Sus scrofa: one gene and its partners. The protein of the gene in region 1 purifies or fractionates together with the protein of each later gene. This does not show direct contact. Links are inferred from orthologs where the notes say so. Each region holds a gene or a part of one and is shown in the gene's direction. Other genes may lie near its edges. The genes, in order: PRKACB, AKAP9, AKAP7, AKAP5 and myomegalin.

Region 1 (6,342 bases):
TCATTCATTATGTAAACTATCAGAATATAAGATGTTTATGGCAAATATTGGGTACAAGGCTAAACATCTTAGTACAGATTAAATTTCTGAAAATATCATCAGGAAGATTAACAAGCTATGTGCTTCTTAAGATTAACTTGAATTAAGAAGGAATTCTGTAATAGTTAAAGATGTAGTGTTTCTTTCTAGCAGTAGATGCCAGTAGAGTTCTTTTTAATGAAAATCAAACTGCCTAAGTACTTTCATAGCAACAGCTTCTGGTCACATCATATATAGAAATATTGCTGTAAAGATGAGATTCTACTTTCTATAAGGATTTTGTAACAAATAAAAACCTGTTTTATTGAAGAAAATATACAAATTTCAAGTGTAGTTTTTTCTAGATTCTCATCTAGTGAAGCTTAATTTATCCTCCTCCCCTCCATCTCCTTTTTTTTTTTTGCTCTACTAATTTTTTTTTTTTTTTTTTTTGTCTTTTTGCTATTTCTTTGGGCCGCTCCCACGGCATATGGAGGTTCCCAGGCTAGGGTTCCAATCGGAGCTGTAGCCATTGGCCTACGCCAGAGCCACAGCAACGCAGGATCCGAGCCGTGTCTGCAACCTACACCACAGCTAAGGCAACGCCAGATCGTTAACCCACTGAGCAAGGGCAGGGACCGAACCCGCAACCTCATGGTTCCTAGTCGGATTCGTTAACCACTGCGCCACGACGGGAACTCCTGCTCTACTAATTTTTATAAGGCTTATTATACATTGATTTAAATAAATTAATCTTAGTGTTCTAATTAGAAATCTGGAATATCTGTACTAAGTCAAGTAACACTGAATGTAAGTCTAGACATGTTAAAAATGAATAATGGGCCTGAAATATGAGATTAGTTTTGTGCTTTTGGCAAAGGAATATATGAGTGTGATATTTGGGGGAGGTTAATATGTCAGAGACGACTGAAAGGATTAGCTAGAAGTAGAGAAGACAAGTTATTTTAGAAATCCACATTTGCACTAATAAAAATGAAATTCTCAAAGACTGAGTAAAATTTAGTAGCTGACTGAATATGGAGAAAAAAGTTAAATGGCATCACTTTTATTGCTGTTAACTCTGTATATGAACAACTAGGTGATTGTTGGGTAATTTACAAATATGGTCCTCTCAAAATTAAAACATTTTCAAATGTTTGATTCTACTTAGACCTTTGATTTATTAAAAATGAATGAATACTTCACTGTATGTTGAGTATGTAATACATTCATTGTATTTATGAATTCAAGTAACTCACAATTTGAGACAAATTTATAAGCAGCAGATTTTAACATAAAATTATAAGATCATTGGAAAAAGGAGAGAGAGCAGTTTATTTTTCTAGGAAGTATGTGGGAAACGTCATTGAAGAGATGAGCCTTAAGGATGAATAGAATTTCTTCCAAGAGAGCAAGTCAAAGAATTCAGGAATTTTATCTACTTATGCTCATACAGAGTCAGTTCATACTCTGCAGATGTTTACTAAAGATTGTAGACACCTGTTCAGTGTCTGGTGCAAAGTCAGATGTTAATAAATTGTTATTATATAACACATTTATCAGAAAACCACAAATTTAAGAAGTTTGATCTTACAGGTACAGTTGCCTCTTTGTTTAGATTGATGCTAATTTTATTACACAAAAAAAAATACACAAATGAGCTGTTATTTGACAAAATTCATTAGTCAGTGTTTCCTAGGTGCATGTGTGTTGTGTGTCCTATTTGATTACATTGTTATTCCTATTTATTGTATTTATTGTTAATGCTTATATTTATTTTATTTTTTAAGCAGTAGGCAGGAAATCTAGACCAAGATTTTTCTAGATAGATTTTTTTAAATCCCTCTCTCCCTCCGTACCTTCCTTCCTTCTTTCCATCCATCCAGCCATCCTTCTTTCCCTTATTTAAAGCTTCCAAAGAGAAATTTCTTATCCTTTAATTAGTGTGAGAAGGCAGGTACTCCAAATCATTGTTAAATGTCACATGTTACTTTTTTCCTATAAATGGACAATTTGCTTTAACCAAAACAGCTTTTTCCAAGTAAAACTCTCTAAATCAGGGGATGGGTGAGCAGTAGTCCTTAGTGTTAAACTTAAAAATTAACATGTCTCAGACAATTAGAAGGATTTTTTTTCCTCTTAATTGAAATTTCTTACTGTGGCTGATTTTATATAATTTTAATCTTTTTTAAAAAAATTTTACAATGTTTTAAAGTGTACTGCTGATAGGCACCTGTCAGATTATGTTTGATGAATAATAATGACATACTAAGTTTTTGTAGTTCCTGTATATATTAGATTTAAGTCAGTGGATTAGCAACATTGAGTTCTTTTTTTAAGTGCTAGTTCAGATTTTTTAACTTGAAAGTTATGTTATAAATTTGTTTTGCAAGTGTTTTATAATATCCATTCCATACCAGTTTTCAGTGGAAAGTTAACTACTTATAAGGATTCATAAAATCTATAGCCGATTTCTTGGAAAGAAAAAAAAAAAAACATTTGTAACATATATTTGGAGAGTGATTTGGCCTTCAGATGTTTACAGAGTTGTAATACATGTTTAACTAGTGTTCTTTTTTTAAAAAAAATATTTAGTTTACTATCTATAATAAAACTTTATATTTAATAGTCTCAGTAACTGTGTATTAATATAAAACACTCTTAAACGTAGAGCCTTTTAGGATGATATTTCAGGTCTTTAAAATCTTCAGCTCAGTTGAGATGAGGAGTTTTGCTGAGAGGCTCGGTAATGTGCTGTTTTATATTAACAGGAAACAGAACAGCAGTAGTGGTTTGAATACCCTGCAAACAGGAAGTTTGACACATGCATAGCTCTTAGCTTCTGTGTAAGAAGTTGTTGAGCTCCTCCTGAGAATATTTTCAGTTACTTTAAGTTAAGTGTAAATGCACATGAATGGCAGCTTATAGAGAACTACCCTGTAACCAGTATACAGGTACAACTGCACTTCAAAAATTGGAAGGTTTTGCCAGCCGATTATTTCATAGACACTCCAAAGGTACTGCACATGATCAGAAAACAACTCTGGAAAATGACAGCCTTCATTTCTCTGAACATACTGTCTTATGGGACAGATCAAGTAAGTTTTGTTTTGTTTTGTTTTCATGGTACATTGTAAGTAGAAGCTAAAATACTAATTGGAGTTTTAGATTCAAATGGAGAACTTTGGGTTTTGTTTTTTTTTTGTTTTTTTTGCCTTTTTGTGATTTGTACAAGGATATTTTGCAAGATGAAGTTGAAAAAATCCACAAAAACTTGATTCTAGGTTGAGCTGAATCACATAGTTCATTGTTTCCTTTTAAATATGACTATTTAAGTTGAATATCAGTGGGAAATTTTTCTACAAAATTCTTACATCATATCTAGTGTATGTTGCTGTTTGGGATTTTTTTGTTTTTGTTCTTATGTACAAGTGAAATACCTACATTTAAGAAAAAATTTTCAGTTTATTCTAAAATATCTTGGATTTATGTCTTAAAATTCAAAAAGGAAAAAATTCTTGAAATAATAATTAAAAATTTATCGTGAGTGCCATTTTTTATTTTTAAATGCATGTGGAAAAGTAACTTCAGTTTTATAAACATTATTTCTAATATGAAAGCATGGGTAGCATGATTTTTTGGTACTTATAATGTTATAAATATCTTTTATAAATATCTGATATTTATAACATTATAAATATCAAAAGTTTTCATATGGGGGAAGTTGTTTATGCATGCATCACATTCTTTCCAGGCATGTTAAAATGTTTGAACTTACTGCTTTGCTGAAATAGTGATATGTAATAATTTTTTGTGACATGTACTTTAAAGGATAAATTTCACATGTAAACAATACCAGTGCCACCATTCCACATTTCACCTTGAACCCTCCCCAAGGTATTTTTGTTACTCTGATTAAAGAAAATATTTCTTGCCCTTTTTAGTGTATTCGATCACCAGATAGAACTAGGTTTTGCTTCTTTCTGTTTATATATATAGTCCACTGCAATTAAGGAAGAAAACTCAGTTTAAAAAAAGCAGCAAAAAACCAAGAATGGCTTACAAAATTGACTCCTTGGTTTATATAGTACCTTCATAGTTCCACAGAAACTTATTTGAATTTTTTTTTTTTTTTACTGCATCAGAATTTTTTCATCTTTTTCAAGCTATTTTAGGGAGAAAGTAATGAATATATATTTGTACAATTTTTTTTTTACTCTAGAGGTTTTGATTATAATTATCCTTACTCTACTGCAAGTTGTTGGATAAGGAATCTCAAATATCTTCAAAATAATGAACTGTTGAATATTGAAACAGTAGTACATTATTAAAGTTTATCATGCAACAAAAATTTGCTATTCATTCTGCTTGCCTGTTTTGTTAAATTGCCTCCTAAGGCCTGTTGGAAAACATTTTTATGCATTTCAAGGACCTTTTAATTGAACATTCAATGAGGAATGAGGACAGTACTAAATTAGTTTCTGTTTCGCTAATGTCTGTTCTTACAAATATTGGGTGTTTAATAAATGTATCTCAAATGAACATCATGAACTTTTTGATTAAAAATTATGTTTGAACTATACTATCACCATTTTTAAAATGTGTGGGGGCTTATCACATTTTCTGAGACATGTTTTAAAATCCAGCAATTAAAAATATGAGCTAGAATTTCTTTTGACCAAAAAACAGACTGATAAAAGCTGTTAACATTTTTCTTTATTGTGATGTCTCAAAATAAAATAAATAGGATCATTGTACACAGTGAAATTAGGTTCAAACCTGATAGCCATTCAAATAATAGTCATGATATAGGGAATTCTTAGAGTAACTGAATGCTTATTAATCAAGCATTCTTCCACATTCTCTTTCATATCCTAAAATATCAAAACAGACACAATAACTTTATATATCTAGTGATAAGTATGGTAAGCATGAAGTTCTAGTTTCCTTCTATGGAATGTGTTGATACAAAGGAAAAAACAGATACAACAGAAACAGAGGAATCCTTTTGTTTCAAAATTCCAAGGTTAGTTTTTGTGGTGAAAACACAAGTTTTTATTCATTCGTAGTGTGAATTATGGAAGAAGTTATGACCATATGAAGTTTTCGTACAAGCCACATTCTTGAAAGCTACTTAAAGCAGTTTGCTTTCATTGACTTGTTTGACAAGAAAAAGGAATGTATTATCTCCTGATAATAAGCTCTCTGATTATGCTTGTTCAAAAAGTACTATTTAAGAAATCAACTAAATACAGAAACTACATGCAATTTTATAAAAAATTAGGTTTGTGAACTATTGAGTAAAGATTAATTACCAATTTAGGAATGTGTGAAATTTAATAAATTTAATCCAAGTTTCTTCTGTGGTGACATGAAATAGAGGAAGAAATACAGAAAAAAGGCCACATAGTGGTTTCCAGGTGCCTTACATGCATTTTATCTTTTACTATTAAATTAAGTAACAGAAAATCCTATTTGAGAACATAAATATTTAACAGCTGATTCCGTACACACATAAATACATGAAATTCAAAACAAAAACACGAAGGAATTCTGCTTTTTATTCTCATCGTGGAGATGGGAATATTGACATTCGAGTTTTTTTTCTAGCAAAAAAAATTTATTATGGTTGGCTTTTAAATATTCCTTTGATCATAAATGGTGTGTAGAATTACACAATGCTGAAATTGATGGAAATTTTGCACATTTTAAATCTTGGACATTAGACATTTAGTAAATGTCTAATTACCATATTTGAAGGACTGAATAGATGAATACCATCAAACGCTTTACCTATTCTCCTTTCCCGTGAATTGACAGGCTATTTCTCCAACAGATACAAATCCATATTAGTGAAGCTTAGAGTTAAATAGTATATTGAACAAATAAGTAATTTTGTATATGGATTTCTTCAGGTAAAATCAAAGCTAAACAGGTTATAATAGACTACTTTATCTAGTCAGTTTTACCTTTCCAAAGCTTACACTGTCTTTAAGATAATTCACTTCCATGCTTATTTCTTGTTTTTTAATGATTTGTATTTCTTACGTCATGGCTGGTTTACAGTGTTCCATCAGTTTTCTACTGTACAGCAAAGTGACCCAGTCACTCACACACACACACACACACACACACACACACACACACACACACACACACACACACATTCTTTTTCTCAAATTATCCTCCACTAAATCTGTATCATTATGACTTCAAAGCTAAAAGACCTGTCACATCTTTTTATCTACTTTTTTCATCTTTAACTATTCTGTAAGCATCTTGGTAGTCATCAGTTTTTACTCAGCAAACATTTTTGAGGATTTA
Region 2 (5,114 bases), on another chromosome or scaffold:
CAGATGAAAAACTAAAGCATAGAAAGCATTTGTCATTTGCCCCAAATTACTCAGTAGGATGTGGTAGTCCCAGCATCAAACCCTGACAGTCTGGCTCCAGAGCCCACTCTTGTTACAACTGCATTTAAGGCTCTGGTTCAAGATAGGATTGCTCTTTCTCTATTATGTGGAAGTTATGGTTTGAAGTTTTCACGACTTAGCAATATTCAAACATGTTTCTGAGTTCAGCAATAGCTGATACAATGAAACAGCTAAAATTCTTTCTCTTTGAGTTCCCGCTGTGGTGCAGTGGCATCAACAGCGTTTCTGCAGCAGCAGGGACCCAGGTTTGATCTCCATCCTGGTACAGTGGGTTAAACATCCAGGGTTACAGCAGCTGTGAAGAAGGTTGAAAGTCCAGCTTGGATTCTATCCCTAGCCCGGAAACACCATATGCCATGGGGTGACCAAAAAAGAAAAAAAAAAAAATTCCTTCTCTCTGTACTCAAACATTTAGGACTTCAACATTTCAGGCAAAAGGATGAGGTCAGAAGCTGGGGAGCACACAGAGTTATAGACACACAGCATAACTTGTATGTGTTGGTATTAAACCACCTTGATGTGTTCTCTGCAGAGAAAGAATAAATATATTTGGTACTCTAAGCAAATTGTTTTTGAAAAACACATCCTCATACTGAAAACAGCTAAAATTTGTACCATATATGAATTCTGTGTTGTAAGAGTAAATCTTGGTTTTGAGTTTTTCCCCAGTAAAAGTCAGTAGTATGAAAAGACTTAATTACATTAATCTAATTTTCTTTATCCACATCATCTTTTCCCCCAAACTTCACCCTAGTTAAAGCTAAGGTAAAACTAAGAAGAGGTCTTTTAAATAAAAAATAGTTTATTTTCTTTGAGGTATAGTTACTTCCAAATTATCAGAAATACTAATATTCAAGTATAAACAAAACAACACTTGTCCTCTCTTTCTCCCTGTAGCAAGAATAATTGAAAATGACAGTAAAACAGATATAGTAGTAGAGTATGGTACTCTTTTGAAGCCTTATCTTTTGTAGAAATTTTTCAAGGGCTTGGTATTTTTTTTCTTTACAAGGTACATTTTGGATTACTTTAGGTGCTGAAAAGACTGACTCATTTTATCATTCTTCTGGTGGATTGGAGCTATATGGAGAACCAAGACACACTGCGTATCGCTCAAGATCAGATCTGGACTATCCAAGGTCTCCTTTACCATTTCAGAATAGGTAAGAATTTGATAAAAACCTGTACCAATATACTAATTCTTAAGAGAAAAAGGATAGTGTTAGGGCTTTGACTGATTTGCATTAAAAGAACTAAATACCTCTTTAGTTATATATGATTTACATAACCTAAAGCTCAGAATCAAAAATAGTTTTTGGATTTGTAACTGGTTTCCAAGGGCATAGGAAACAGAGCTGATCAAGTGTTAATTGGTATATATGCTGTGATTAGACATTGGGAAAGGCATTGACTAAAATTGGTAGTTTCCAGAATTATGAAAAAAAACTCTAAAGTTTGCATAAGGTGCATTTATATGTTTGCAACATTTATTGATGGCCTTGGCAACAGGCAGTGTGCTGGACATTCTTTTGATGACTTAGTATCTGCTTCGAATTTATTGAGGAGTTTTTTTCCTTTATACATGGCAAACTCAGACATATGAGGGATATAGATGAGGCAGAGTACCAGTGGTCTACCTTTTGAAGGCAAGGTGGAGCTCGACTGGCACATTGCTTGCATTGTTTTTGGATAGTTTGGATTCATGTTCGTATTTTTTATCTCATAGGTACCCAGGCACTCCAGCTGATTTAAATCCCAGTTCTTTAGCATGCTCTCAGCTTCAGAATTATGATCCTGACAGAGCCCTGACAGATTATATCACTCGGCTAGAGGCGCTACAGAGACGGCTTGGAACTGTACAGTCAGGTACCCTCAGCTTAACCAAGTACTGGCAGCACCATGGTGCTAGATAGACCCAGAACTCTTTCTTTTCTTGAAATTCCTTGACCTTCCTCATTAGGACAATCAAATCTTAAACTTGAGTATGAGTTACCAAGCTAGATTTAGGAATTTAAGCCAAAACTTGATTTATCACCCTGGATCCCACTCTCCTGCTTATCTCATTAAGACAATTGATTAGGTGAAGTACATGATGAGCATCTATGTACAAAGTACTCTGAGACACACAGAGTTTCTGCTGGAGAATTTGCTGCCAAGTGATACATGCTGAGGCATCCAAATAAGAGCTGGGGAGATGAGAGGAGGAAGCAAGTGCTTTTTATATGTGATCCAAGAAACCCATCCTATTCAAAGGACTGTGCAAGAATGACCTTTTATTGTCTCTGCTAAAAACAAAAAAAAACAGGAAAAGGGAGGGGGAAAGAAAACCACACAAAAATTTTTTTGTACTTAGTAAATGTGGAATCCCTTCCCTTTTTATTGTGGGAAAAAACCTCTCTTCTCTGTCTCTCAATTCACTCCTGATTCAATGGTCTTGAATCATTTTAATTTAATGAGCTTTAAGTCAGTTTATATGTATGTATGTGTATATGTATATTTTCCTTTTATTAAAGACCCTTTTTTCCTACTATTCCCACAAAATAGATAGGACTAATAGCCAGTTATTTTAAATTAGTAGTTTGCCTCTTCATATAAGAAATTGTCTAACCCAAGCAACTTATAGTTGTAGGAAGCAATTATCATAGCAGGACTTGGTTGGCCTGAGCATTTATATTTCACAAGACCCAGATTTTTAAGACCAAGAGGTATTTCAAGAGGCAAGAGGTATAGAACATTCAACCTGCAGGGCACTTTACAGAGAATCTTATCATTAATCTCACTTAGCATGCCCTGGAGCCAGCCACGGTGAGTTTTGAATATATGTTCAAGGTCTCCTATTGTGTAAGCCAGCTGCTACAGCTCTGATTCCACCCCTAGCCTAGGAATCTCCATATGCCCTAAAAAAAGACACACACAAAAAAGAGTCTCTTTTAAAAATCAGTTCAATTCTGAATAAGATTATTTTAGGCAGAAAAAAGTTTTTAAAAATGGTGCCTCCTTCTGCCCTTCATGGAGTCAGACGCGCTACCATTGCGCCACAAGGTCCCTCTTCTGCCCTTTATGAACTGGTTAGTCTGATTTAAGTCACAATCTCATTGAAATCACTGAAGTATCCTATTTCTATGTTACAGGTTCAACTCAGTTTCATGCTGGCATGAGAAGATAATCCTTTGAAACATGAATCAAAGTGATTTTAAACAAATTCCCTTTTGTAAATCAATGGTTCTTTTGTGCTTTTGTATTGTGGATATTCACCGGGACCAATACAAACACAGCTTATGATTGTATACAAATCCCTTGCCAGCACATGAAAACAAACTGGATTCTGTACATATAAGCATTGTGTATGTATTCATGCACAATAATCATCAAATTACATGTATATTTGTGGAATGCTAATTTAAATGATTAAATTATAAACCTTGTGTATTTATCAAATGGGTGAAAAGATTAAACTTTTGCGCATTATGATACTGTTGAATGTGTAGCTCGAGGTGTCCTGCACTTTTCTTATAAGGCTACTGAAGTTACATGTTACTGCCTAATATATTTGCTACTGGTGATAAAGACAGATAATATCACTTGTAGAGACCTATTTTTGTATAATGGTAGAAGTTTTGGATTTTATGGGGTATTTTGTCAAGTACTGAAATAAAAATGACTTCACCATTTTAACTACACTGTATTTGAACCTTTTTTTGTTTTCATTTTTTTGGTTTTTAGGGCCACACCCACAGCATATGTAAGTTCCCAGGCTAGGGGCTGAATCAGAGCTACAGCTGCTGGCCTGCACCACAGCCACAGCAACACCAGATCTGAGCTGCGTCTGCCACCTACACCACAGCTCATAGCAACGGCTGGATCCTTAACCCACTGAACAAGGTCAAGGATCAATCCCACATCCTCATGGATACTAGTCAGGTTTGTTTCCAGTGTGCCATAATGGAAACTCCTGAACCTTCATTTTTAAGCCACAGTTCATGGTGCATGTCTTATTAGTCTGTTCAGGTCACCATAACAAAATACCATAGCCCGGGTGGCTTACAAAAACAGCAGAGATTTCTCACTGTTTTGGAGGCTAGGGAAATCCAAAATCAAAACACAGCAAATTTGATGTCTGGAGAGAGCCTGCTTTCTGACTTCCTAACTGCCGTCTTCCTGCTCTGTCCTCACATGGCAGAGGGGCAGGGTGCTCTCCCAGGCTCTTTTGTGAGGGCATTAATCCCATTTGTGAGAGATCCACCCCCAAGACTAATCACCTCTTGAAGGCCCCACTTCCAAATACCAACATATTGGGTGTTAGGTTCCAACATAGGAATTTGGAGAGACATCTCATTATTTATCTCAAGTATGTAGGACCTAGAGATTCAGAAATTTGCCCTGATTTTAGAATTGCCTACTATTGGGATTTTTCTCTCCCCACACTGAGGAAGAGTTTTTCTGTGTGCCTTCCTATCAACTTTAAGTCTACATACAGTGTTTTTTAGAAGCTGTATTAGTATTTTCATGATTAATCCACATTTGCCTTACTACGTTAGGGTTACTTGTATCCAAAGCTATGTCTTCACAAAGCCCTGCCCGCTAAGATGATGTGGAAATCATTTAATTCAAAGAATCTTCTGTTAACCACAGCGTAGCAGAATTAAGCAGTATTCTTGCTGTCTAATAGAAATTCAGAGTGAGGTGCTCTCACAGATATAATACACATCTCTATGTTACTTCTTAAGTAGCGCCCTCCCTGATAACATGGCCATCACTGAAACAGCAAGACAAATAGTATCTGATGCTTATTTCTGGAGGATTTTGTCTTAGCATTAGATATTCTATGATTTATACCAACACAAACATATTAGCAGCTGAATTCCAATTGGAGGACTTCTAAAAGTACTATATTCTAAGACCTTGGTTGAAGTGGGAAGGTTGTGAGTAAAAAGCTTTTTTTTAGCTAAGCATAGCCTCCCATTCAGGATGATTCTGCGCTAGGAGAGAATGAAAAAAGAGCAGACAGAGAAGCCTCTGCTCTGATCAGTCCC
Region 3 (6,310 bases), on another chromosome or scaffold:
ACCATGGGCTGGAGTGTGGGTTGGAACTGGGCTTGGATTCCATGTTGCTGTGGTTGTGGTGTTGGCCTTCAGCTATAGCTCCAATTTGACCCCTAGCCTGGGAATCTCCATGTGTTGCAGGTTCGGCCCTAAAATAAAAAAAAAAATAAAAAAAAATAAAAAAATTTAGATGTTGGAGTTCCCTGGTGGCTCAGGGGGTTAAGGATCCAGCACTGTCACTGCTGTGGCTCTGGTTACTGCTCTGGCGAGGGTTCGATTCCTGGCCTGGAAACTTCCACATGCCATGGGATTGGCCCAAAAGAAAAAAGATTCAGATGTTATTAGCCTCAAGCTGGTGAAGCTTTAGGGAAATAAGATTATCCATGATATTGATTTCCTTTTCTTTTTTTTCTTTTTTTGAAATTTATCTGGGTGTGTTACTTTTTTTTTTTTTAGCAAATATGATTACAGATTTGATAGTTATAAAACTTTTATTCATTCATTCATTCATTCATTCATTCAATAAGTAGTCCCTGAACAACCACTGTGCACTTGGAAAAACAAAACAGCCTCTGCCTTCCTAGGAAATAGTGTGGTAAATAAGGGTTGTTAGGTAAGGTCTGTTATGCAGAGATTTATTCTCCTCTTCTGAACCAAGGGAGGGAAAAGCCTTTACAAGTGGAAATTCACGTCACCTTCACAAAATAAAATTTATGCCCTGCTTTTAGGCAGAAAGGAGGCAGGCAAAAATTCCTCGAGTGTCTGTTGTTTCTCAATTACTGCTAGTTCAAAATAATCTTTAATGCTAAAGTGGCATATTTTGATCCCCTTCAATGTTGACCGTGGATTTCCTTTTTGCAGCTTTTAGTTGACTAGTTATTGCAATGACTCCTGTTTCTTTCTCTGCTGTTAGGTGACCAGCTCCTTAAGAAAAAGACCCATCTTACTCACCTGCAAAACCCCAGGATGTAGTAGGCATTAGGGGAACCTGTTGTCCTTCTCCAATTAGCCAGCCCATAATTGCAATGAACCTGTCAACCAAACACTCAACTTGGTAGAATTATTTTACAACCAGATTAACGAGCTTTATGACTAGTTGTATAGGGTCTTTCTGCCAACTATTGGGGTTGTGCGCAAGTCCTTGCTTCCATGTTCAGTATAGGATGCATTCAAGATAAGGCAAGTGCTATCATTCCCAAGATAGTCTCTATTAATTTGTTGAAAGATGAATCTACTTTTCCTTGCTGATTGGCTTCTTTGCACTTAGAAAACTCCAGAAGAATTTGCTTTTAAGGGCCGCACCTGCAGCATATAGAAATTCCCAAGCCAGGGGTCTAATCAGAGCTGCAGCTGCAGGCCTACGCCACAGTCACAGCAGCCTGGGATCTGAGCTGCATCTGTGACCTACACCACAACTCACTGCAACACCAGATTCTTAACCCACTGAGCGAGGCCATGGGTAGAACCTGAATCCTCATGGATACTAGTGGGGTTCTTAACCTGCTGAGCCACAAGGGGAACTCTTCCAGTAGAATTCTGATCCAAGATCAAAAGGTTTTGTTTTTCTTTTTAAGGCAGCACCTGCAGTATATGGAACCTTCTGGGCCAGGGGGGTTGAAATGGAGTTGCAGCTGCAGGCATACTCTAGAGCAACACTGGATCCCAGCTGCATCTGAGATCTATGCCACAGCTTGCCTCCAACACCTGATCCTTAACCCATTGAGTGAGGCCAGGGATTGAACCCCCATTCCCACGGAAATTATGTCGTCTTCTTAACCTGCTAAGCCACAATGGAAATTCCCAAAGTTTCTTTTTTTTTTTTTTTAAGTAAAATTTTCCCCCTAGTTGTCAGTCCTTTAATATGCAACCACAAATAGCTGCTTTCCATTTAATTTCTAGGCATGAAACCAGGGTTAAAAATTTGAGACACTGCTACAACTTGGCTTTTTTTTTCCTTTTGGCCGCACCCCAGGCACATGGAGGTTTCTGCACCAGGGATCAAACCAGCGATCCAGATGTGACCTGCAACAAGGTCAGATCCTTAACCCCCTACGCCACAAGGGAACTTTGGCTTTTTTTTTTTTCCTTTAGTGCAAAGTAAAGATCTAATTATACAAACTGACAAGGTCTCATTCCTGCACATCTCGCTCTTTCCAAGTATTTTATAAGCAGAACGCTGTGTTTTGAAAGCTCTTTGCAAAACCAAACACATGGATTCTCAGGAGAACCCAGACCAGGGAGTTCCTTCTTTAAGGGCCCAATCTCACCCCCTCCGCACGGGAAGGAAAGGCCGGGCACTGGGAAGAACTGAGCGCAGCGGAAGACCTTAGAGGTCCCCGGCGGGGGCGGGGCAAGGAGGGGGCGGAGCGTCGCCGGGCAGAGAGGAGCCCTCTTCTCTCCCTCGCGCAGTAGTTGCGGCTTCCCCCGCCTCCCTCGCTCGCGGGAATCCGGGTACCGCGGCCACATCGGGTCGGCCCCTTCCACTCCCTCCGGGCGCGCGGCCTGGGCATGCAGCTCCTGCGGGGATTGAAGATCTGGGGGCTCGGCGCCTCCGCAGGCCTGGTCGCCGCGGCCCGAGCCCCCGCCGCCTGCCGCGGCCACCGCCCCCCGCTCCGCCCCAGCGCGCCGCCGCCCGGCCCCCAGCCCCGCCCCGCCTCCCGCCTCCGCCCCGCGCCCAGTCCCTGGCCGCAGCGCCCGGCCGCTGTCGCCGGCTGCAGAGGCCTGCCGCCCGCTAGCGCCGCCACCATGGAGCACCCCGGAGCCGGTGAGCCCGGGCGGCCGAGCGGGCCGGGTGGGGCGACTGGAGCCTGGAGGCGTGGGCCCCGCTCGGCCTCGGGGAGGGCTTGGTCTCTCCCCCAGACCTTGCAGCGCGACCCTGAGCCTGCCCTGCTCCGGGGCTCCTCTCCCGGCTCAGCGCGGGACTCAGTGTAGCCTCGAGAAAGCCGTGCACTGGGGGTGTGATCAGTGCCTGCAAGCAAGGCTTTCAGTTAGTGCACGCACTGCTGCTGCCACAGAGGCCGGGGGTGTTTCACCTTTGAAACACCCTAAGTTTCGCACCCTAAATTTCGCTTTCGTTTTCCTTTCTGAGTTTGTGACCTTTCGGAAAGTTCATGCCAACGCACACCCACCGACAGTGTTTGTGTGGCCAGCAAAACCTAGAAAAACTCCACTTTTATACTTTATCAAAATTAAAGACCTGAACCACCACTTTTAGGATTTCCTGCTAGGATTTTATTCTAAGACCCCTTTAAACTGGCGCCAAATCTGCGGTAGGGCCGGGAATTAATTTCTAGTTTAAGTCAGCATTTCCTGTGAACTGAACTTTGTGGGTAGAGCGAGGGTTAGAGGCCGAACTTTTGGTGAAAGGGACCAACAAACCGGTTAGAGAAAAGGTGCTCTTCCGTGAGATTTTTGTAGTATAAACGCTTAAAAAGGTATAAAAGGCGTGAAAATGTTATACAATAGTTTACAAGAGTTAAGAGAATGGAAAAGCGAAGACCTTGTAGGTGGATGCTGAGAGCGGGAGTTTTGAGATGGATGCGGTTACCGAAGTGAACGCATAGGGGGTTGTCAAAGAGAAAGGTTTCACATCCCGGTGTCTTGAGTGCTTTTAGTGTATGGCCAACGTTCGAATCCTGATGATGTGCCTTTAAGATGTTTGTTTGTCTTCTTACATTTCATTTCGGATATTATTGGCTTATTTTGTGTATTTATAGTGATTTGGATTGTACTTTTGTTCTCTTTCTCGTTCATTTTTTAAACGATGTGGAAACCAAAACATGGAGGTCAGGTGACTTGTTGATTATCACCCAGCTCAATATTTCTCCAGATGTAAGATGTTTCTATTTTTAGTAGCTAGGCCAAGACCAGCATGAATGATGGGATTAACCCTTTCCACTGGCTCTTGGGAAGTCTCCCTGCTGTATACCTAGTCGAGTGAATTGAAGAGAATCTTGCCTAATAAAGTTGTACTTTGTTATCCAAATAGGAAGCTTGCATTTTGTGTGACAAAGGATGAAGTATCCTTGTTTTCCCCTATTGGTCTGTGACAAAATCATTTTCTAAAATGCATGTATATTCAAATATTAGTGTATATATACTTCATGTATGGTTTTGTAATATATTTTAGATGTATGCATTAATTGTTTTTTAATGTTTTTTTAATGTACCGATGTGGCCGCGGTACCCGGATTCCCGCGGTACCCGGAAAGTAATATTAAGGAGTTCTCATTGTGGCTCAGTGGAAATGAATCTGAGTAGCATCCATGAGGTTGAAGGTTTGATCCCAGGCCTCGCTCAGTGGGTTAAGGATCCAGCACTGCCGTGAGCTGTGGTGTAGGTCACAGACACGGCTCGGATCCTGCGTTGCTGTGGTTGTGGTGTAGGCCAGCTCGGATTCCACCCCAGTCTGGGAACCTCTGTGTGCCATGGGTTCGGCCCTAAAAAGATTAAAAAAAAAAAAAAGTAATATTAATTCTATGTAAGATGTTTGGATAGCAGAAACAGGAAAAATACAAATATATTGAGTACAACTATGGCAGCATTTAGAAATAATTTATATCCTTTAGCCTTATCCTATGTAATTGCCAACATAGCACAAGTATATATAGTTTTATATGTGCTTTTTAAAAGGTTAGTGTAGGTATCCCCTGCTTTTCATAAGTTCTCATTATGCCACTTCGCTTTTACATTTATTTTATTTGTTTATTTTTATATTATTTTTTGTCTTTTTAGGGCCGAACCCACGGCATATGGAGATTCCCAGGCTAGGGGGTCTTATCAGAGCTATAGTTGCCGGCCTACACCACAGCTCATGACAACGTCAGATCCTTAGCCCACTGAGCGAGGCCAGGGATCAAATCTGCGTCCTCATGGATGTTAGTCGGGTTCTCTAACTGCTGAGCCACGACAGGAACTTCTCCTGGTACCTCTTTTGTAAGAAGAACATCATTGCCAGATCAGTTTACAGAACCGTAAACACTGTTAACTTTCCATCAGGCTTTTTGCTGGAAAGGGCAGGTTTTCGTGGTTGAGTAACTGGTTTCAAATTATAGCCCCAAGACCTACTAGCTTAGTAACCTGGGGTAGGTTACTTCATCGGCTAGTTTGTAAAATGAGTATGATAAGAATACCTCCCTGGAGTTCCTGTCGTGGCGCAGTGGTTAACGAATCTGACTCGGAACCATGAGGTTGCAGGTTCGATCCCTGCCCTTGCTGAGTGGGTTAAGGATCCTGTGCTGTGGTATAGATTGCAGACGTGGCTCGGATCCCGCGTTGCTATGGCTCTGGCGTAGGCCAGGGGCTACAGCTCCAATTCAACCCCTAGCCTGGGAACCTCCATATGCCATGGGAGGGGCCCTAGAAAAGGCAAAAAAAAAAAAAAAAAAAAAAAAAAAATACCTCCCTGATACCATGGTTAAATGGATTACTCTTGGTAAAGTGCTTCCGCTGTGCCTGGCAAATGTATACATGCTCAAATGTTAGCTGTTGTTACTGCTAGTGGTAGTTGACCAGTTTAACTTCATCTTTATAGTATGAATGCACTTAGCAGCATTACTTTTTTTTTGGATTTGTACAAAAGATAGAATTTTGTTTTAATTGGAGTTAAACCAAATTTTAAGTACTCAGAATGATAAATTTACAGTTTAAATATTTATTTAGAGGTCGGTTATTTTAAGGCAGTTTTCCAAAAGCAAAATATATATACTTCTGTAAAAGAAAGTGCAATTGTGATGGATGTGTTTAATTCACATCTGCCAGCCTTTGCTCAAACACTAGAGCTCTGGGAACTGGAGGGAGGCTTCCAGATTTAAACCCTGTTGAGAAACATTATTCTATAGAATGACCAGCAGTTCTTTTCAAGAGATAACTTGGAAGTGGTATTCTCTTTTTTTCTGAATTAATAATTCATATCTGCAAAAAATTTTTCAATTGTTCTGTAACTTCATACAACAAAGTTTGTATTTCAAGTTCTAGACTATTGATTTTGACATAATATTGCACTCAAGAGTTTTTAATATGCTTCGTTTAACAAGATGGAGAATGGTGTTGAGCAAGTTATGTTATGATTCCATTTTGGCTATTCTGTCAAATAGGATATCAGTTAGCCCGTGAACATGAATCCGTGATGTGCTAAGAATGCCATTAAACACCAGGAATTATTTTTGGGGGCCCTGAGATAGCTGTGTGGCAGTGGAGCTTGAGTGATTTATTAACCACTCCCAGATGGGGCTCACTTTGTTAAGTACGGTGTACGGAGCACCTCCTGAAAGCCGAACACTGAGCTATGCATCACAGAATCAACGGAGAGCAAGACACAGCAGTTAGGGAA
Region 4 (6,396 bases), on another chromosome or scaffold:
TTAAAACTCAGATATGGCGTCAGGTTCTAGCTGTATCCTAAAAGAAACCCACAGTGAAATATTTTATTTATATGGTTCTATACCCCGTGTGTTGGAAGTTGGGAATGAGTTATTTAGAATACAGCTTAAAGAAATCTGCCCTTCAAATACAAAATCAATTCACCTCTTCAGAGTACCCTTCGGTTCCCATTCTTTAGTTGTTTTGTTTTAAGAAAAGCAAATGGAGGAGTTCCTGTTGTGGCTCAGCAGAAATGAACCCAGCTAGTATCCATGAGGACACAGGTTCGATCTCTGGCCTCGATTAGTGGGTTGGAGATCCGGCGTTGCCGTCAGCTGTGATATAGGTTGCAGATGAGGCACAGATCCTGTGCTGCTGTGACTGTGGTGTAGATCAGCAGCTGCAGCTCCGATTGGACTTATATCCTGGGAACTTCCATATGCCACAAGTGGGACCCAAAAAAGAAAGGAAAACAAGTGGAATAAGATCTACAAGTTGTTAAAATGGCCTTTATTATTTTAACCTGTCCTTTATTTCATTCCCAATTATTTTCTAATAAAGACAGCTCTTCTACTCTGTCTTCATTTAGATAAGCTCATCTTATTTTTGCCTGAAATTGTAGCTAACTCCCAGATCTAGATTTGAGAAAACTTGTACTTAGTAAGTAAGAGCATCTCAGTTGGTTATGAATGGCATGGATTTCTTTTGGCTTGTTCAGAGTTCAAATCTGGCAGTAAGCAGGGTTAGTAACTCATCTGGGGATATAAAGGAGATGTACACAGACTGGTGTTAGCTGAATAAATAAAGATAAATTGAATTCTTAATTATCTCTACTATAGGTGCTTAGGGATTTTCCTGTTTTATAGCGCTTGTCTCTAGGATCTTGACAGCTTAGATTCAGCTTTGCTATTGTGTAAATAGTTCTTTCCTTAATAAAGAATCTTACAAAGGTAAACTATATTCCTGGATAAGCATCCAAAAGTGGGTAAGAGCTTTACTCTCTCAAAGCTCATGGTCCTATTGAAGAAAAGAGATAAGTACAACTGCTTTTCATAGTTCTTCCCTCTGCCTTAATAGCTTCTTCATCTAGATAGTATGCTTGGGAGGGGCCAGAGGAGGAGGCAGGAATTGTGCATCCTGCAGGACCTCACCATAGAGGCTCCCAGGAATGCCCTTGTAGGTAATATTAAGCCCAAAGCAAGTCACCCTAAACTCTCACTGCAACACCTTTCATTGGTGCTAATCCACTATATACAGTGGATTATGTATACAAATCAATGCTTATGGTGCTTTTCACTATGACTGGGAACTTGCTTAGATAAAGACTCTCAAAATGTGTGAAAATAACACAGCCTAGCCAAACAGAGAGTGAATATTGCCAGTGCCCTTTGCTCTGGTCTGTACTAGAATTGTGAGGAAAGTCAACTCATGTTTTAAACCCCTAACCCTCACCCCGCGCTGTACTTGAGAGGGACAAGGTTAAGCAGACACCTAGGAATGTAAGGGAAACGGGTAACTTGTAATCGACTGAATCCTGGAAATATACAAGATGTAAAGGAGGGAGGGGGCTGTGTTTCTGTGCCCTTCTGACATCGATATCACACAGTTTGCATCATCTCTTCCTTCCTCCTAGATTCTTAGGAGACAAGGGTCTGTGTCTTGGGCCTCTGAGAACCTTTGGCAGGGAACCGTGATAAGTGCATTACACCCAAACCCATTCCTGGAAAAGTTTTATTTTCTCTATTCATATAGGTAATTTTTCTTTTCAAACGAGATTGACTCTGCACAGATCTGAATCCTACTTTTAAAATGTGATATCTGCTGTGACTTTAAATATTCAGTGGGGGGATTTATGATGTGAGTGCCCATAGTTTAAAATTGGATTTTGCTACTTTGCATCTGAGAAAATGGAAGGCTTACGACCTTGGTCCCCTCCCCATCTCTCTCGGTGGCCCCCGGCCCTTGCCTGGATGTGGTCGCGCCTAAAAGATTGCCGCCTGGCTGGGCGCGCGAAGGTCCCACGCCCGGGGCTGGGCTCACCCGCAGGTGGACCTCCTGTCCCCCCCCCGCCCCTCCCCCGGGCCACCGCCCCCGCCCCCAGCCCGGGCCCCGCCCCGCGCCCGCCTGCTCCACGCGCATTGGTGCCTCCAGCTGTCGGTCCCCGCGCTCTGGGGAGGGGGCGTCGCCCGGCTGCGGTCCCTCTGCAGAGGGTTGCTCGCTCCCGGTGCGCCGCTGCCTTCCCGCCGGCCCCGCGGGCGCCCCCGCGACCTCCGCGGCAGCGTTGTCCAGGGACCCCGGCGCCCTCGGTAAGTGAAGCGGGCGATGAGGCTGTGAGGAAAGAGGGCGCGGGGCCGGTGTCCGGTCCGCCGACCGCCCGCGTGGCGGAGTGGGCGGGAGGTGCCCGCTGGCCACCGGGAATCTGGGGCCCCGAAGGTGGCCGGGGTAACAACGGGGGAAGGTGTTTGTCCGCAGACATCTCCACTCAGTACGACCCTCATCACTCTGCCCACCTGCCCTCCCCGCGTTTGAGTTGTCCTGGGGGCTTGTGTAGCTGGTAGCTTTTTTCCTTCCTTGCCCTTTTCGGGGCGAATGCGGTGTGGGCTTCCTGGCCATTATAATTGTACATTTAGCTTGAAGCTGGATTAGCTGTTCCCCGCCCCAGCACTTTCCTTTTTGAGTACTTTATCCTGCGCTCTAGCTCCTGCCATAAGGCGCGTCAAGCCGAATGAGAGATGCCTTCCTCCTGAAGGAAGCTTCGTGTGGCCCACACCTGGCGCGGGGAGAGATGCACCGCTTTTCTCAGGAAGTGGCTGCTCTTTGCCTCCGTGCTTCTCTGCTCACGGGAAAAGGGCAAGGGGTATTTTCAGTGGCAGCAGACTTGCGATTCTATCAGGAAATTACAGCTTCCTGGAGCAATAAAACTACTTCTGCAGGTTAAGGACGAATCATTTGCAGTCTAATGTTCCGCAAAGTTTTAATAGCCACAGACTGCATTCTCCCCCTTTCAGTTAGGTTTTGTTTGGATATCTGTTGTAGTTCTACATCTTGGTATACATTCCAGTGAGCTTCTCAAGCAATTGTCCTTGAGCAATCCAAGTTAGTTTCAAATGACACATTCCTAAATGATCTAATATCAGCATTTCTATTAGGTATACATCCCTCCGGTTAATAAAAAAACACTCAGGTGGGAGGATTCATAAGAGGTGCGGAGACAAAGAGCTATAATTAGCTGTGGTTCTAGTGTATCATGTTTAGAGGGACACTGTTAAATGTTCATATTTTAGTTCCATCATGGTTGTAGGATGGCTTTGTCTTTCTGTCGGAGGCAATGGAGTATGTATCACCCGACCTAAGGGAATATTTGCTTACATCATGAACTGATATTCAGAGTTCCAATTCCTTCTGTGGTTCATGGAATCAGGAGTTGCCCAAATAAACCTTCAACAGTGAAGGATTTACATTTTTTTAAAAGTACAAAGAAAGATTCCCTTTGCTTATCTTCAGACATCCATAAACTAAAATCCACAGGATTTCTGTTAGGTGGTCACCTCCTTTCTCTGTTCTCTGGTACTATCATACCATCTTGTGGATTAACTTTAAAATATACCTTTATGTTTATGTATAATCAGTTTGTCAGTTGCACAACTTATCTATTTATTTTTGGCTTTTAGATTAGTTCCAGAACCAAGAAAATATAAAGAATTTCAAAAGCTTGATTTTAAAATGGCAAGAACTCAGTCTACTCTTGCTTCAGCTATGAGTTGATGGGCTGCATCCTGGTTACATGACCACTGAACAATCTTTAAATTTTCGGGCTAGTGAGTTTGGTGCAGATTAGCATCTCCAAAAACGTCATTTTTTTCTGATGAAAATCCTAAAGCCCAGTTTCAGGGGATGGGCTTCAGAAACAAGCAATTTTGGGTTGAATCTGAGCTCTGTTATTGACTAGCTCATCTAGAGCAAATTAACCTCGCTCTGGGCCTCAATTTCTTCATCTGTAGATGGTGATACCACCACCTACTCTATAATGTGGGAGGATTAGAGATGTGTGTAAAAGGGCTTAGCACTTCCTAATACACAGGAGTTGCTCAACAAATGTCAACTACTGTTATCATTCACTCTGATCTTCAGTTACGTGCTCGTTATGGAAAATGTTTAAACAGCAGATACTTAGGAAAAAAATGTCAAAGTTATACAAACAAATTTAAGAGTGGAGAATGACAGTAATGTTAAATTTCCCAAGAGCATGTATGAAAAGTAGCACCTCCTTCATGGAATATACATTTTTAGAACAGAAACCTTATGGTATAATGGAAAGAACATCAGAGAGTTAAAGTCTTCAGTTCTAACTCTGGCTATGACCTCATCTAACTGTGTGGCTTTTAGCGGGCCAGCTGCCCACTTTGGAGCTCAGTTTCTTCATCTGGCTGGATCTGAATAATCTCAAATGATCTCTAAGATCCTTTGCAACTTCAGAACTCCTTATTGGATGTAATAAAATTTAGCTTGCCCAGCACCCTGCCCTTTATTGTTTTTTGGTGGTGGTAGTGGTGGTTTTTGTCAACTTTCGATTCAGAGTCATAAACAGTTCATAAAGACAGCACAACTACAGAATTGATAAAATAATATCAGATTTGCAGAGTAATCCAAAATGAAGTTTTAACAAAGAGAGCAAAATAAATTCATGCTGAAATCTTTTTGGATAGGGCAAAAGTAAACCCCAATTTTTATTCTCCGGTCATTTTGGTAAGTTATTATATGGGAAACATGCCTGGTAGAATCATAGTCTCTACAGAAAACAGCAGGCTGATGGTGAAATAAAATACCACTCTGTTTTCTCTTGTCAGGTTGATCGTTAAATAAAGCAAAAATATATCCAGTAAAAGGGCTTTCATGAAGAAATTAAAGACAGAAATTACAAGTAATAGAGAAACTAGGTATTTGTATAACTGGAGAAACCACCTAAAATAACCATGGAGTAAGACAAAAGGAGTGACTCCATCTGGAAGAAATTTTATTTAGTGTGTGTTTTTTTTTTTTTTTTTTTTTTTGTCATAAAAGGCTGCTAAGGAAGAGAGGCATAGTTTCTAGAGAAAGAAAGATATAATGTCAAAATGGAGACCACAGTTTCTGAAATACAAGTAGAAAGCAAGGATGAGAAGAGATCAGCAGAAGTTAGTCCTCAGGATGAGAGGCAGGAGGAAAAAGCATCGATGCTTTGCTTCAAGAGAAGGAAGAAGGCAACCAAAGCAAGGAAGCCCAAAGCTGGCTCTGATGCTCCTGAGGCAGCAAGGAAATTTCCCCCAGAAGCGGGAGCTTCTGATCAGCCACAGCCCCCAGGGGGAGCCTGGGTTTCAGTCAAACGCCTTATAACATGCAGGAAAAGATCAGATTCTTCAAAGCAGCAAAAGCCCTGTAAGGCTAAAGTGCAGCCTGAAAGCAAGGATGCTGATCTTTCTAAGAAAAAGGCAAAATCCAGACTCAAGATTCCCTGCATAAAATTCTCAAAAGGGGGGAAAAGAAGTAATCATTCCAAAATTATAGAAGACTCAGACTGCAGCATTAAAGTCCAGGAAGAGGCTGAAAGTTTGGATATAAAAACTCCAGTCCAGTTGGATGACCAGGCAACAAAAACCAAGTCAACTCTGGATATAAGGGAAGATGTCTCACAGAAAGATGGTGATGAGGTCTGTGAATCAAATGTGAACAAGAGCATAACTTCTCCTGGAGAAAAAGTGATTTCAGTAGAACTTGAGTTAGGTACAGGGCATTCTGCTATTCCAACCGGAACGCTAATCCTTGAAAAAGATATTGAAACGACTGAAGAAAAACCAAGCATTCATCCTCAGCAAGGGAGCCCACTGGAAACCTCAGACATAGAACATCCCCTCCCAGTGGTTTCTGATGTTCCTCCCTTACCTGCAGTCCCAGATCAACAAATTGTGGAAGAAGCCAGAAGCAGTATCCTAGAAAGTGGACCAGATTGGAAAGACCACGAAAGTAGAGAGATTGTAGCTGAGGAGAGTAAGCCAAAAGATACTGAATTGAGCCAGGAATCAGATTTTCAAGAAAATGAGATCACTGCAGAAAAACCCAAACCAGAAGAAAGCAAAAGAATGGAGCCAATTGCTATTATTATCACAGACACTGAAATCAGTGAATTTGATGTTAAGAAAGCTAAAAATGTCCCTAAGCAATTCCTAATTTCAATTGAAAGTGAGCAAGTAGGGGTTTTTGCTAATGATAGTGGCTTTGAGGGTAGAACTTCAGAACAATATGAAACACTCTTAATAGAAACAGCTTCTTCTCTTGTCAAGAATGCTATCCAGTTGTCTATAGAACAGCTGGTTAATGAAATGGCCTCTGATGATAATACAATAAACAATCTTGTACAGTGA
Region 5 (6,477 bases), on another chromosome or scaffold:
ACACAGGATCTGAGCTGCGTCTGCAACCTACACCACAGCTCACAGCAATGCCGGATCCTTAACCCACTGAGCAATGCCAGGGATCAAACCTGCAACCTCATGGTTTCTAGTCGGATTTGTTAACCACTGTGCCATGACGGGAACTCCTATATCACATCTTCTTAATCCATCCATCTGTTAATAGACATTTGGGTTGTTTCCATGTCTTGGCTATTGTGAATAATGCTGCTATCAAAAAGACACATGCAGCAGTGGGATTGCTGGATCATATGGTAATTCTGAGGAACCTTCATACTGTTTTCTATAGTGGTTGTACCAACTTAAATTCCCACCAACAATATAGAAGAGTTCCTTTTATCCACATCCTCTCCAGCATTTATTATTTCTGGCCTTTCTGACCTGTGTGAGGTGGCACCTCATTGTAGTTTTGATTTGCATTTCTCTAGTAATTAGTGATGTTGAGCATTTTTTTAGTGCCTACTGGTCATCTCTATGTCTTCTTTGGAGAAATATCTATTTAGGTCTTCTGCCCATTTTTGAATGGGTTGTTTTCTTGTTGTTGAGCTGTATGTGTGTTTGTATATTTTGGAGGTTAAGCCCTCGTCAGTTGCATTGTTTGCAGATATTTTCTCCCATTCCGTATGTTTTCTCTCTTTTTTTTAATGGTTTCTTTTGCTGTGCAAAAGCTTGTAAGTTTGATTATTTTTGTTTTTATCTCTATTGTCTTGGGGACTGACATAACAAAACATTTGTACAATTTATGTCAGAGAATGATTTGCCTAAGCTCTCTATCAGGAGTTTTATGGTGTCATGTCTTATGTCATTTAACAAATATTTTGAAATTTATTTAAATAGCTATGGATATTTAATAACTTGAGAGACTCAAACGTTTACTATTTTAAGATTAATTCTTCTGATAACCATATTACTGCAATCTGTACTTGAACAGGAAATCTGGTTTTAAAACAAGTATTTTGTAATATTGTTATCAATTAACGCAAAGCATGATTGTTTCTGGCTTCTTAAAGATTTCCAACCAGCAGAGGAAAATCGTGCACATGCTTATGGTGTTACCATAAAGCCTAACTGCATTTATTTTTACATTCTTGTATTTCCTCATTTGCTTTAGATTCTCTGCCAGAATCACTTTTTTTTTTTGGCATAGTTTTTAGTAATTAGAACAGCTGTTTCCAATGCCATAACTAGGGTAATGAAACCTAATACAACTGGTTTGGGACATGGGGATTTTCCATCTCTTGGAAACTCCCTCCCAGATCAGAATTATTAGGTCTTAGAAACACAACAACAGAGTGAGTACAAAAGTAGTTATGCTTTTAGGAGAATCTTCCCAGGGCCCAAAATCTAGAGATCAAAATAGAGATAGTGCAAAAGATCCCTGTTATAGTAATACTTAGGAATCTTGTTCCAAATGGGAAGATAGTTCTCTAAATTCAACAATTTTGTATGTAATTCTTTATTAATTGGTTTTCCATTTATCTGCAGAACTTTGATCTTTTGGCAAGATTTGTCTGAATACAGTTTAATAAGAGAGTTCTAATTCAGTAGTTTTCAAAGTCTGGTTCTCAGCAGCAGCTGCTTGACCCAGGAATTTTCTAGGAATGCAAATTCTTGGACCCCTTCTCAGAATAACTGAATTAAAACTTGTTAAATCTTTAACAAACCCTCCAGGTGATTCTGATGCATGCCAAAGACTAAAACCCACTGTTTAAATTAATTGTTTTATTTTGTAGGTTAGGAAATTAAGGGCCCGATATAAGCGATTTGACTTAGGACAGATAGCAGACACGTGCTTATGAATGCACTTATCAATCCATTGTGAGGGCAGAAAGCATGTATATAAAATTAATCATTTGTCTAATTCATTATAGGTTATCATAATATGAAACTTGTTCTCAGTAAAATTTTCCCTTGTTATGTACTTCTGATAAGTTTTAGAAGTATTTATTTTGTTCTAAATCATCACAAAAGCCTTATGTCTCACCTTAACAATATGTTTTTTGTTTCTATTATAAATGTGTGGTGTGGGGAGTTCCTGTCGTGGCGCAGTGGTTAACGAATCCGACTAGGAACCATTAGGTTGTGGGTTCGATCCCTGGCCTTGCTCAGTGGGTTAATGATCCGGCATTGCTGTGAGCTGTGATGTAGGTCGCAGATGCGGCTCAGATCCCGCGTTGCTGTGGCTCTGGCGTAGGCTGGCAGCCACAGCTCCGAATGGACCCCTAGCCTGGGAACCTCCATATGCCACGGGCGCGGCCCAAAGAAATAGCAAAAAAATAAATAAATAAATGTGTGGTGTGTATATGTATATAAAATAATATTTTCCAAGATCATTGGATAGAAACTATGAAAATTTAAAGTCACAATTGAACATTTCATCAAATTTCTTCTGGGCTATATTTTAATCTTCCCAATTTTCAAAGCTATTCTTATGATAGAATGAGGGTTACTTTAATCCCTCAGATTAAACTTTGTGGGCTATATATATTTTTATAATTATTTACACCTTTTTAATCTTTTAAAATTGAACTATACCAACGGATAAAATCTACAGAAAAAGCATTTTCAGTGAGCTTTAAAATTGTACACATCCGGAGTTCCCGTCGTGGCGCAGTGGTTAACGAATTCGACTAGGAACCATGAGGTTGTGGGTTCGGTCCCTGCCCTTGCTCAGTGGGTTAAGGATCTGGCGTTGTCGTGAGCTGTGGTGTAGGTTGCAGATGCGGCTCGATCCCGCGTTGCTGTGGCTCTGGCGTAGGCCAGTGGCTACAGCTCCGATTAGACCCCTAGTCTGGGAACCTCCATATGCTGCGGGAGCGGCCCAAAGAAATAGCAAAAAGACAAAAAAAGACAAAAAAAAAAAATTGTACACATCCATGTAACTATCACCCAAAACAATAGAACATTTTAATCAGTCCAGAAAGTTCCTTTGTGCCCTCTTGTAACCAATTCTCACCTTATTTCACCCCCCATAACCACTTTTGGAATTTCTATCATTATAGAAATTGTTAGACTTTAAACTGTTAGACAAATAAAAATCACACAGGATGTATTGAAATGGCTTGTTTCACATAAGACACTTGAGATTCATTCATGTTGTGGATATCAGAATTCATTCTTTTTTATTGGTGGTTAATATTACATTATGTGAATATATGAAAATGTGTTTATCCTACCTTTTTCTTAGTAATATTTTTCTTATCACAAATCAATCCATACTTATTATAGAAAATTATAGAATACAAATGAGGAAAGAAGAAAGGTATCCATAATCCTACTCTCCAGACATAATCATGATTTAGTAACTTGTATATCCCTGTGAACCTTTGTTTATATAAGTTGTCCACATATATAATATATATATCATATTTTAGAAAAATTCTCATTTTAGGTTCAAGATTTACCACTTAGACTCTAAGTCTTAAATTGGCACAGTTCTTCATTTTAACTATAGAATATTTCCTAACCTTAAAGCATTTAAAAAATAATATATGAATATAGATTCATGCCCCAGATTCAAATGATACATGATATATAGAATAAAAGTAAATGTTCCTGTTCAGCTCCCTATTTTGCTTGCCTCCCCATAGGTAGCCAGTGTTAACCAAATACAAAATCTTGACCAAGACGATATTGATAAGAATCATAAAGTACTGAATTGTTACTTTATAATTTTTCTTCATTTTTTAATTTTTCTTTCCAAGTTTTATTATACAAAAATGATCTTTTTATAATACCAAATGATCACTTTAGGAGTAGTTCTAGTAGTCTACTATCTGTTTTGAGATATGATCTAAATATTTTCTCTGAGAGTGAAGAGTGCTATCTTCAGATTTTTTTTGATTGTTGAATGATTTATTCCTGTCTGTTGTTGAAAGCCTAGATATGTATAGCTCTCTTTCAGTATGTTGACCTTTACCATTTTTTAAAATTATTTATATTGATCTTTACCACTGAAGAAACATATTGTTTGATGGGAAATTGCCTTTTCTCCATTAGTACTGACTTGTATGTCAACTAGCTATATACTGTCATTAAAGTCTAGAGGCTGCAAGTTAGATGCAAAATCTTATTAAGTAATAGAGAATAATACAAAGTATTGTTTAGAGTTTGCTCCTGAAGAGCACTTTGTTTCATTAGCATTTTCCCCATTGGGAAAATATGGCTTGCATTAACAAAGATGAGGCCTCGATTAATGTCTTAATTTGCAGTTTTTGGTCTTTTGAGTCCTTGCTGTTCTTTAGGACAACACTTAAGACAGGGTAGGGCAGGGTAGTGACGTGGAAGTCCAGAAACTCTTTGCCTCTCTGTACAGCACTATAGATTCCAAAGATTATTACTTAATTTCTTCTGACTCCGAAGCTCATTTATCACTGTAGTGAGTTTTACTTGGAACTCTATTTTACCTTCTTGGTTTGGGGGTCAGAACTACACATTTAGGTGAAATCACAGATGTGAAGTTCTGTACCCTACTAAACCCAAAGCTCTAAGGACTGACCTTATCTCTCATGATGGAGCTGATAAGATGTTGTCTTGATGATTAAATAAGAGCAATAAAACTTCATATGTGCAGAGCCCCCATCAAACTTTAAAATTACTTTAAAATAGTCCCATTATTATAATATTAAAATAATATTAACTATTATTTAGTGAGCCAAATTCTGTTAAAGCACTTCCCCCAAATCATCTCGTTTAATCCTCAATAAGAAGTTTGGGGGTTTATTATGAGCTTTCATTGAAAGTATCTGAGGAGTTCCCATTGTGGTGCAGCAGAAATGATTCCTACTAGGAACCATGAGGTTGTGGGTTTGATCCCTGGCCTCGCTCACTGGGCTAAGGATCCAGCCTTGTCCTGAGCTAAGGATCCAGCCTTGCCCTGAGCTGTGGTGTAGGTCGCAGACATGGCTCGGATCTCACGTTGCTGTTGCTGTGGCTGTGGTGTATGTAGGCCAGCAGCTGTAGCTCCAATTAGACCCCTCGTCTGGGAACCTCCATGTGAGGCAGGTGTGGCCCTAAAAAGCAAAAAAAGGAAAAAAAAAAAAAAAGTATCTGAATGTCTCCAGGTTTAGAAGCGTGGGCTCTGTCCTGGAGATGAGATTCAGAAATATTTATGACTGTTGCTGACTTTACAAGGTCAAGTTAGTGAAATCTAGGGTTACTGTAACTGGGGAATAAATGTTCTGCTCTGGGGAAATGATTACTTGGGTCCGTTTTCCTTTCCATCTGGAAGCTGGATACCTCTCAAGCCAGGGAGAGAGTTTTTTATTGTAAGTGGACGTTGACACCTCAGTTTCACCTAGACAGAATTCCAGTTTCCCTCCTTTCTTTGCGTGCATTCCAAGTTCTACACCCAAGGGTGGGTGTCTTACTACTGGATAATGTTGAATAATACAGGATACTAAGTGAAGTCAGTGAAATTCTCAGCCCCACTTCTACAGATTGCAGCACTCCCCAACACTAGGAACTGCTTGCTCAAATAAACAAGCCTTTTGTTCTAGTGTTTGTCTCCCTTTCCCACCCCTAAAAGAAGGCCTGAAGTCTACCTGAACCTGAAAGAGGACTTGGTGATGGGAATCTACTCTCAGATGTTTACATTCTTGAAAAAGCTCATTTTCTCTGTTATCTTCAAAATCTTGGTTAACCAGCTGCATTTATGTGGTTTTTGTTGGACTTTCTCGGGTGACTGCTTTGTGCTATTTCTTTTCTAAAAAAGGGCAAATCATGCAGGAGGCTAAACGCAACCCCAAGATCACGTGGGGAGAAGCATTTGTCCTCTTTTCCAGATACTCCCGACAGGGAGAGGCTGAACTGATCCTCCTAATATCCGCCCTACCTGCTCCCTCTGGTTTATCAACCCTTTCTCCTTCGCCGCTGCTGAAGCCCCAGGGCCTTTTAATCCAGGGACCAGACTGGGTAGGGAGAGGAGGTGGGGCAGCAGGCGGGAGGGAGGCGGCGCGCAGCGGTACCTAGTGGTGCTGCCAGGCTGCTCCATCCAGAGTACGTGGCACTACCCGTGGAGTGAGGGGGAGGGGATTCAGCTTACTCCTCCCCACGCAGAGCCTCGGAACATCCCGCAGAAGCGGGCGGAAGGATCCGTGAGGGAACTGGTGCGCTTTTTCAGTGAAATTTTAGAAGATGACAGTGGGCTGACAGTGGATGGCATCTGTCTTGCTCTCCGCGGAACCCACGCGAGCCAGGTCTGTGCTCTACGGCAAGGAGCAGTGACGGGTTTGTAGGCTAGGGGCCCGCACTCGCCGCCCCGCATGCGCAGAACGAAGAGCCGGCCTGTCGGACTACAGTTCCCAGAGGTCTTTGCGGGTGGCCGCCGGCGCCGAGTCGCTGGCGCCATCTTGAAATCTGATCCTCAATCTCTGAGCCTTTGCGTCAGCCGCGGACGGCGGTCAGTGTATGGTGAACCAAGCCCGCTTAAAAGGGAGGACGTTGAGGACACCGTGGCTG

Evidence for each region.
Region 2: the proteins of PRKACB (region 1) and AKAP9 purify together in Homo sapiens (affinity purification with mass spectrometry; 5 studies listed by BioGRID and IntAct, counting the BioPlex papers as one, with this or other methods). This does not show direct contact. The link is inferred for Sus scrofa from reciprocal best matches to the Homo sapiens genes PRKACB and AKAP9.
Region 3: the proteins of PRKACB (region 1) and AKAP7 purify together in Homo sapiens (affinity purification with mass spectrometry; 4 studies listed by BioGRID and IntAct, counting the BioPlex papers as one, with this or other methods). This does not show direct contact. The link is inferred for Sus scrofa from reciprocal best matches to the Homo sapiens genes PRKACB and AKAP7.
Region 4: the proteins of PRKACB (region 1) and AKAP5 purify together in Homo sapiens (affinity purification with mass spectrometry; 4 studies listed by BioGRID and IntAct, counting the BioPlex papers as one, with this or other methods). This does not show direct contact. The link is inferred for Sus scrofa from reciprocal best matches to the Homo sapiens genes PRKACB and AKAP5.
Region 5: the proteins of PRKACB (region 1) and myomegalin purify together in Homo sapiens (affinity purification with mass spectrometry; 5 studies listed by BioGRID and IntAct, counting the BioPlex papers as one, with this or other methods). This does not show direct contact. The link is inferred for Sus scrofa from reciprocal best matches to the Homo sapiens genes PRKACB and PDE4DIP.

The regions. Positions count from the first base shown.
Region 1 is NC_010448.4:129,590,155-129,596,496, reverse strand, and holds the start of PRKACB (cAMP-dependent protein kinase catalytic subunit beta), read left to right. Parts: upstream 1-2,801; 5' UTR 2,802-2,932; coding exon 2,933-3,116; intron 3,117-6,342. UniProt on the Homo sapiens protein: Mediates cAMP-dependent signaling triggered by receptor binding to GPCRs.
Region 2 is NC_010451.4:72,051,140-72,056,253, forward strand, and holds the end of AKAP9 (A-kinase anchor protein 9), read left to right. Parts: intron 1-1,093; coding exon 1,094-1,244; intron 1,245-1,807; coding exon 1,808-1,947; coding exon of another isoform or gene 1,948-1,994; exon of another isoform or gene 1,995-3,212; coding exon 3,213-3,247; 3' UTR 3,248-3,759; downstream 3,760-5,114. UniProt on the Homo sapiens protein: Scaffolding protein that assembles several protein kinases and phosphatases on the centrosome and Golgi apparatus. Required to maintain the integrity of the Golgi apparatus. Required for microtubule nucleation at the cis-side of the Golgi apparatus.
Region 3 is NC_010443.5:32,358,179-32,364,488, reverse strand, and holds the start of AKAP7 (A-kinase anchor protein 7), read left to right. Parts: upstream 1-2,340; 5' UTR 2,341-2,487; coding exon 2,488-2,743; intron 2,744-6,310. UniProt on the Homo sapiens protein: Probably targets cAMP-dependent protein kinase (PKA) to the cellular membrane or cytoskeletal structures.
Region 4 is NC_010449.5:88,536,815-88,543,210, forward strand, and holds the start of AKAP5 (A-kinase anchor protein 5), read left to right. Parts: upstream 1-2,123; 5' UTR 2,124-2,304; intron 2,305-2,310; exon of another isoform or gene 2,311-2,797; coding exon of another isoform or gene 2,798-2,831; exon of another isoform or gene 2,832-3,271; coding exon of another isoform or gene 3,272-3,347; intron 3,348-4,845; exon of another isoform or gene 4,846-5,059; 5' UTR 5,060-5,112; coding exon 5,113-6,396. UniProt on the Homo sapiens protein: Multivalent scaffold protein that anchors the cAMP-dependent protein kinase/PKA to cytoskeletal and/or organelle-associated proteins, targeting the signal carried by cAMP to specific intracellular effectors.
Region 5 is NC_010446.5:100,730,315-100,736,791, reverse strand, and holds the start of myomegalin, read left to right. Parts: upstream 1-2,673; 5' UTR 2,674-6,477. UniProt on the Homo sapiens protein: Functions as an anchor sequestering components of the cAMP-dependent pathway to Golgi and/or centrosomes.